Canis lupus familiaris: one gene and its partner. The protein of the gene in region 2 purifies or fractionates together with the protein of the main gene of each other region. This does not show direct contact. Links are inferred from orthologs where the notes say so. Each region holds a gene or a part of one and is shown on either strand. Other genes may lie near its edges. The genes, in order: IQGAP1 and MYL6.

The links.
Region 1: the proteins of MYL6 (region 2) and IQGAP1 purify together in Homo sapiens (affinity purification with mass spectrometry; 4 studies listed by BioGRID and IntAct, counting the BioPlex papers as one, with this or other methods). This does not show direct contact. The link is inferred for Canis lupus familiaris from reciprocal best matches to the Homo sapiens genes MYL6 and IQGAP1.

Annotation. Positions count from the first base shown.
Region 1 is NC_049224.1:54,170,205-54,174,007, forward strand, and holds the end of IQGAP1 (ras GTPase-activating-like protein IQGAP1), read right to left. Parts: intron 3,120-3,803; coding exon 3,011-3,119; intron 1,200-3,010; coding exon 1,086-1,199; 3' UTR 303-1,085; downstream 1-302. UniProt on the Homo sapiens protein: Plays a crucial role in regulating the dynamics and assembly of the actin cytoskeleton.
Region 2 is NC_049231.1:828,671-833,200, reverse strand, and holds the start of MYL6 (myosin light polypeptide 6), read right to left. Parts: upstream 3,026-4,530; 5' UTR 2,895-3,025; coding exon 2,892-2,894; intron 2,648-2,891; coding exon 2,620-2,647; intron 1,749-2,619; coding exon 1,605-1,748; intron 1,377-1,604; coding exon 1,203-1,376; intron 1,112-1,202; coding exon 1,034-1,111; intron 765-1,033; coding exon 736-764; 3' UTR 720-735; intron 19-719; coding exon of another isoform or gene 1-18. Other genes in the region: MYL6B (myosin light chain 6B), read right to left, coding at 3,458-3,486, 3,623-3,700, 4,151-4,324. UniProt on the Homo sapiens protein: Regulatory light chain of myosin. Does not bind calcium.

The DNA of each region.
Region 1 (3,803 bases), on a different chromosome or scaffold from region 2:
TGACATTTTATTTTATTTATTTTTTAATGGTAACATTTTATTTTATTTTTTAAAAAGATTTTATTTATCTATTCATGAGAGACAGAGAGAGGCAGAGACACAGGCAGAGGGAGAAGCAGGCCCCATGCAGGAAGCCCGACGTGGGACTCAATCCCGGGTCTCGAGGATCCTGCGCTGGGCCAAAGGTGCCGCTAAACTGCTAAGCCACCCGGGCTGCCCTAATGGTAACATTTTATTTTTTTTTATTTTATTTTTTTTTTTTAAAGATTTTATTTATTTATTCATGACAGAGAGAGAGAGAGAGAGAGAGAGAGAGAGAGAGAGAGAGGCAGAGATACAGACAGAGGGAGAAGCAGGCTCCATGCAGGGAGCCCGATGTGGGACTCGATCCTGAGTCTCAGGATCACACCCCAGGCTGCAGGCGGCGCCAAACCACTGCGCCACGGGGGCTGCCCTAATGGTAACATTTTAAAACTGTGTCTCCCCTTTGCTAGAAATGTTTCTTTGAACACAGAGCACTGACTTCTGTTAGCTCCTGCTTATAAAGGAAAACAGTGGAAGAGAACCAATGAGCCCCTGGATCCTTCCATTTGACCGATGGGATGGAAACGTAAAGGAATTTCACCTTCAAATGACAACTGAATGCCAGGAGATGACCTGACTTGTGAGTTGTGTGCCTTATGTGCATGTGTTATTCGTGTTGATAGATCCTACTTCCAAGTAACAAGAATTCAAGCCCCACCATCCCTGTTGCTAATTTAAACACCAAAGCTTACAATAGAGTAATGCAGCCTCTAAGACCATAACAACAGAGATTTTAGTGGAGCCTCCACTCTTTCCTAAGTGACGGAAGAAAATGAGGGGACAAGAGGGTCGGACAGCCTGAAATACAGTTTCACTATGAAGAAAGGGCAATAGACATCCCATCAGAGTGGGAGGGTTAAAAACGTGGCGTTGGGAGTGTATCAAGTTGAGGCTTTTTTGTGGCCTGGGTCTTTGCTTCCAATGAGTAAAGAAGGACCCAAGAAAGGTCACCGTGAGGAGCTTCTTTCCTTCATCCTTCTGGTCTGGTGGCAATGGATCAATTACTTCCCGTAGAACTTTTTGTTGAGGAGGAAGATCAGAAGGTTGACATTTACTTTAGCTCTATTAAATAATTTCATGACTGCGACTCCTTCATACTGTAGCTGCAGCAGGTCCTATAAAAACAACATTTTACAGTCAAACAAGTCTGTGGAATAAGAAAGGACATGATGTAGGGAGGGATCCAGAAGGAACAAGGAATGACAAATGTGAAGTGGTGTGAAAAAGAGGTGCCCAACCACAGAACGGTCCACTGCACAACCACCCTGAGACTCAAGGAATGGGACATGCTGCTCAACAGAATATTCTGGTACATCTGTATATCAAAATACACAAAACATGGAAAGAAAAAGCAGCATGTTCACTCATCACACATACTTCCTATTTCAGAGCTGACAATAACGTGTCTCCAGTTTGTCTAAGTGATGGGTCACCTGGGGAAGGGGGAGGCATTTCAATCTATGATAAAATATACTAATCACTGAAGACAGGATACAGCCACTAACGTCATCTCAATAGTATCCACTAGAGTCTTACTTTTTATTTCACGTGAGAAAATTTCTATATTTTGAAGGCAAGGGGAAGAAGGACAAAATGTTTATTAGGTGCCTCCAGTGTGCTCAACATTGGGTAGGCACATCAGATAGTGTCTTTTTAAGTCCTGATAAAAGTCCTATAGGTGTGATTATCCCGAGTTTAAAGATGAGGCTCAGAGATATTCAGAGTGGCATGGAGTGGATCTGGATCTGGATCTAGAGCCCCTGCTTCTCCCATTGCCCTCTACTGTCCAGAGCACATTTAGGAAGTGAGTAGTCTTGCACATGAACTTCAGAAGAGACAGAATGAGTCAAGGCACTTGAAAGAACCCAAAGTTCAAACAATGCAACTTCTGGAAAAATTCTAGCAGCTCCATGAGAACGAAGGCCCTGGTGTGTCACCTGTGCCTGACAGAACACCTGCACCTGATCCTCATTCTATATTTAATGCGCCTGTGCACGGATCAACATGCTACCGAGGCAGGCTGGTCGGCCTGTGCAACGCTGGTGAGACTAAAGACGTGACAGGATCTTTTTTTTTGGGTGTAAGCACCTGAGCATGTGCATCACAGAATCACTTCACTTTTGTTCAGCTAACATGTTTGAAGGTCTACTCATCACTAAGGAGGAAATGAAGACACACTACCGTGGGTCCTTAAGGAGCTCACGGTCTGGCAGGCATGTGTGCAGGAATAAATGAGAGGGCTGGGGGGTGGGCAGCAGGTGCAGAAGCCCAGCACACGTTCAGAGATGGCCCCTGCCCAGGCCCACAGAGCACAGCAGTGAGATGCAGTACAAGGAATGGGACAGAAGTGATGAGGACACACACGGAGCTGTGGAGCCTGGACAGAGCCCAGGAGGCCTTGTGGTACCCTGGTGCTTTTCTACTGCGTAAAGACTAGAAATATTTTGGAATAAAAAATAGGTTAAATTATGTTATAAATGATTCACTGCAGAGTTCTTCCCGAATTTAAAATGGGATTCAGTTTACAAAGATGCAATTTATACACATCTTGTCAGAAATACACTTTTAAGTCCCCAAAATCAAATCAAAATGAGAAAAGATTTCAAGCTATTGAATAGGTTTACAATTTTCTACTATCATTACTTAAACATTTTGTTCAACGTCAAGGTACCAGTTCAATTTAGTGCCAACACTAAGTAGTAGCTTCAGATAAAAGCTTTCAGAAGACGTCCAGATCTGCCCAAGCTCTCCAGGGAGTACAGACCAAGTCAGATGCACAGCAGCCCTCAGCTCCTTTCCCGCCTGTGTGGGCGCTGGCTCAATGCAGGGTGATCCAAACATGTGTCTTTTTTACCTACTGTCCACCCCAAAAAGAACACAACCACATCACATATAAAGTTTTCAGTTCTGTATGGTGCATACCCACCTGATAATGCAACATAAATGTCTCCATTTGAACACCCATGAACTTGGCTTTCACTTCAAAGTCTCCAACTTCTTCTGTTGGACTGATTTCAAAGATAACATTTTTAAACCTGTTGAAACATAACATCATAAGGGTGTGATTTTTTTCATTCTCATATAAAAATATTCTGTGAAATGTAGAAAGAATATTAACAATCTTCAAGGGGTGCCTGGGTGGCTCAGTTTGTGAAGCATCTGCCTTTGGCTCAGGTCAAGATCCTAGAGTCCTGGGATTAAGCCCCACGTGGGGCTCCCTGTTCAGCGGGGAGTCTGCTCCTGCCTCTCCCTCTGCTCCTCCTCCCACTTGCGCTCTCCCTCTCTCTTTCTCAAATAAACATATAAAATCTTAAAAAGAACAAAACAATCTTTCTTCAAGAGTGAAAAGGGGTACCAAATAAAGGCCCAAAACACTTCTACAGGTAGAACAGTGTGTGGCTACTACTCTAACTACCACATGCTCGGAGACTTGGGGAGAGCCGGGAACCTCTCCCTGCAGCCCTTGCATGCTGTGGGAAGAGGGACCATGGAGGAATGCCACCCTCTGAAAGGATGATGTCACAGGAATTCTCTTGGCTTTCCCCGTGGCCACTGCTTAAATCCAATGGTAAAAGGATAATCAAGGGGAAACTAGACTGGAAGGAGAGGGAGGAAAGGATGAATGCATGTTTGAGGATTGTAAGAAGTGTGTAAGTAAACAAAAAGGGGTCAGAACAAAAAGCCATGAGAGGGGGTGCCATAGATACAAATGCACTCAG
Region 2 (4,530 bases):
GCACCATACGGACGAGCTCTGTGGATCGGAGAAAGGGGTGAGCCAGGGAGTAGGGCCAAGGGGAGGGGTCCACCAGGGGCCAGGAGACCACAGGACCACAAAGGTAGCATGGGTATGTGCCCGCAGAAACCAACCTTGGCTTTGCAGAGGAGCCACCTTGAGTCTGCCCAGTTCTCTCGGCCCCCAGCTCCCCTCCCACCAGCTGTTAGCCCCCCACCCTACCCTGAGCAGCAAGAACACAGCAGGAGGCAGAAAAGTTCTCAACTACACCTACAGCTATTGTCAGCCATTGGCAGGAGAAGACAGAGATTTGGGTTAGGGTACCTCCAAGCTGCCCAGCAGAAGGAAGAAGAAATGACTATTCTGCTACAGCAGCACAATGGGGCAGGCGACACCCCCCCCCCCATGCCAACCACCTGGGCCCCAGGGCCAAAGGATCACCCTGAAGCAAGATGGGGACCGGCTGGTGCAAGTTCCCAGACACCGGCACCTGGACCCTAGAAGCAAAACCTCAGAGCCCATTCTAGGAGAGGAGGTACCACACCCCCAGGCTGTCTTCCTCTTTGAGGAACCCCTCCCCTGCCCAGTCAGCTCCATGCAGAAACATGCTAGGAGGAAGTCAGATGGTAGTAGGGGAGGGGCAGGGACTAGAGAGCAGAGGTTGGGGAGAAAAACACTGGGGAGGGCGACTAGAGAAGGGAGGCTGGGAGGAGCCGTACCCGCCCCATGGGCCGGTCACCCCGACAGGATATGCCTCACAAACGCTGCAGGAAGGAAGAGACACTCATGGTGAAGACAAGACACAGACATGGGGTGAAGGGTTCAGGTGGTGGGGGAACAGACATTCCCTTTATTTTACTTCCCGTTCCTTCCCCACCCTTCACACATTACCCTTTTCTTTCCTGTCATATACCCCCATGGCCTCCCGCTCCCGGGCTGGGCCAGGCCCTGCCCTTTGCCTCCGGAGCCCCAAACACTTGGGCAAGAGCTGCCTGTACAACCGCTTCCTCCACGAGAGCCCCAAGTCCCTCACCTTCATAGTTGATACAACCATTGCTGTCCTCATGCCCCGCCACCAGCATCTCTACTTCTTCCTCCGTCATCTTCTCACCTGCAGAAGGAAAGAAAAGCATTCTGGGATCTGGGTGGCAAGTGTGTGTCAGGTGGCACCTCAGCTCAAAGGAGCAAGGGCAGAGCCTTACCCAGCGTGACAAGAACGTGCCGGATTTCAGCACCCATGACGGTGCCATTCCCTTCCTTGTCAAACACCCGAAGGCCTTCGACGTAGTCCTCATAGGTGCCCTGGTCCTTGTTCTTGGCCACAGTCTGCAGCATGGGCAGGAAGTGTTCAAAGTCCAGCACCTTCACATTCATCTCTGCCATAAAGGAGGGGGAAGGAAAGTCACCCGGGTCCTCAGGACTGAGGAGACTACAGGGCTCCCACGGGGGCAGGGGGCTCCCACTGAAAGCAGGAGTAATCTGTGGGATTTGCTAGTTGAGACAAATGTGCTTGAGGTCTGGGCCCATGAAGATAAAGGGAAGCTCTTAGCTAAAGAACTGTAGGCCCATTACCACACTGAGGAATAGTTCCTGAGGACCCTCACCATCGCTCTTGGGGTTCCCCAGGACCTTGAGCACCTCGGCGTTGGTGGGGTTCTGGCCCAGGGCCCTCATCACGTCCCCACACTGGCTGTACAGGATCTTGCCATCCCCTGTTCGATCGAACAGCTGAAAGGCCTCCTTGAACTCTGAAGATTCAGACAAGATCAGCACTGAGCATGCGGGGGTTGACCCAAACCCTGCCTCCCAAACCCCCTCTGCCCAGTCAACTCTTGATCATGCTGAGGAGACCAGGTGTTTGTACCACTGTACGCCCAGGCCCGCTGAGAGGGATCTAGCGTCCCTGCGTCCCTGCTCAGGCGTTCCACATAACGACACGGCCTCCCCCTCCCCAGGGCTGAAGGGTAACAGCCACTTACACGCCCCTCTGCCGACAGCAAGCCCGCCCAGCCTCCTCACTACACTCAGGGCAGGAATTCGCCACCGCCCAGTCTGGGTCCTGTCCTTATAAGGAAGAGGGAGCAGCAGCCGGGGACCGGGGTCATCCCTGCCTGCCACTTCCCACCTCTCCGGTACAGACTTCTAGAGGGCACTGCTATGAAATATCCTCAGCAAATTCCCGTCCCCATTTTCACAGAATTCCAGGTCACTGCTTTCTACACTCTTCACAATCCCGGACTGGGCGGGGGGGGGGGGGGGGGGGGAGCTGGGGGTGGTGTTATCACAGGAGGAGGAAAGAGGCAGAAGCTGATTAAGGGACGGAGGAGCGCAGGCAACTTAATACACCCTCCCCGCCCCGCACACACCGCAGGCGTTAGGTGACCAAGTTGTCTCATGCCCACACCGCCTAACACTCACCCGGGGCTTGGGGCTCGGATCTAGAGTGGAAGGGGAGGGAGGAAGAAAGAGTGAGAAGAGAAAATGGAGGATGCCGAGGAGGGAGAGGAGACGGCAGGAAGTAGGTCCCGGGGGGAAGAGAGGGCCGGCCTGGTGGGGGTAGTGCTGGAGGCGGGGGCCCCTCTCCCGAGACGCGACCTCAGCGGGTCGGGGCTTACGTACCGGCGGTCTGGTCCTCGGTGAAATCACACTGCTCAGGGAAGAGGGGGGCCGTCAGCATCTCAACTGCAGCCCCCAAGCGTCCATCCCCGTCCCGCCAACTGAACCACTAAGTCCTGCTCCGTGCTGGGGACTCGCTTCCCGCCAGGACAAGACCCCCGAACTCTCCAACCCCGCCCCCGACCTGCCAGGCCCTCGGGTTCGCTCCGCAAAGCCCCGCCCCGGCCTCCCGCCTCGCCCCGAGCCACGCTCCGCGTCCCGGGCCCGGGCCCCACCATCGCGACGGCGCGCCTCTGCGGGACCCTCTCCTGCAGCAATGGCTCCGGCGCCCGGCCCTGCCCTAGTCCTCGTGCGTCCCCGTGACGTCACAGCGCCGGCCCAGCCAATAGAAACGGCGGCCCGGCCTTATGCAGATGAGGGCGCTACGTTAGTAATGAGGTGGGCGGGGCCTCCGCTCCTCCCTCTGGCGCCGCGCTCCCTGCGGGGGGCCGAGCTGCGGCGGCGGGTGGAGCCAGGCGCGAGGAATCGGAGGGTCGGCGATCCCGGAGAGGAGAGGCCGCCCCCCGTCTCCCCCCCCACCAAGAAAGCAGCAGTCGGACGCCTAGGGAGGAGCCGTCTCTTTATTTTGAAACAACAGGGGACCTCCTAGTGGCAGGAACGTGCTTCCATCGCCGGGGAGGGGCGCCGAGTCCAGCCCCACCGCGCCTGTGGAAACGAGGCAAGCTGCCGAGGGCGGTCGCTCGCGCGGCGCCGTGGGCTCGCCTTCCCGGCTCCGTGGCCCCGCCGAGGGGAGGGACGGAAGCTGCCTCGAGCGCAGCGGGACGGCCCTACCTGTAGGAGCTCAGACGCTGAGGATGTGCTTCAGGAAGGCTGCGGAGACGAGGCGGGAGGGTTCAGAAGCAGGCCCGGCTCCGGGTTCAGATAATCCGGGTCCGTCCCCCCCACCCGGACCGCGAGCCCCGGCCCCGCCGCTCCCGCCGCTCCCGCCGCTCCCGCGGCCCCTCACCTTCATAGTTGATGCAGCCGTTGCTGTCCTCATGTCCGGCCAGGACGGTCTCCACCTCCTCCTCAGTCATCCTCTCTCCTGAGCCCGACAGAACAGATCAGTCCCTGCCCACCCCCCCGCCCTTCCTCTTCCGGGCGGTGCCCCCCCCCCCCCCAAGCTTGGCGCCGAGCCGAAGCCCAAAGGAATCCTGGTAAGGGCCCCTCAGTGTGCCCTGCCTCTCCCTCCCACTGCACCTGCCCGCGCGCCTGGTCAACGCCTCCACGGAGGGAAAGGGGACGGGGGCCCCAGGTCACAGAGCGCAGGCCTCTCTCCCACAGCAAAAAGTCAGGCTTTCCACCTCACCCCTCTCCTCTGTCCTGTGGGAGGCAACTGCACCCCCTCCCCTTACCTTCGGGTTCTGCCCCAGGGCTCCGACCTCCTTAGCCCCTGCCCATGGCCTGTAGGGCGGTAATGCTTCCCGGCCCTGCCTCCGTGCCTACTGGTCTGGCCCCTGCTCCCCGCCCGCCCCGAGTTCCGTCCCTGCCTCACCCAGGGTGGTGAGCACGTGTCTGAGCTCCGCGCCCATGACTTTGCCGTTCCCCTCTTTGTCAAACACTCGAAGCCCCTCCAGGTAGTCCTCGTATGTCCCTTGGTCCCGGTTCTTGGAGACTGCTTGGAGCATGGGCAGGAAAGTCTCGAAGTCCACACGCCGGGACTTCAGCTCTGGAGGTTGGAAACGGGAGGGAGGGGTCACTGTAGTGTCACCTTGGGCCCAGCTCCATCCCTACCACGAAGCTTTTCATCCCATTCAACGTTCAGGATGTTTTTTTAAAGGTGTCTGACAGTGTTTGAAGTCCCAAGAGCCACCCCAGCATCCTTTGTCACCTTGCCACCATTCCTCGGTTCCACCACCACACTGAAAAACCGCA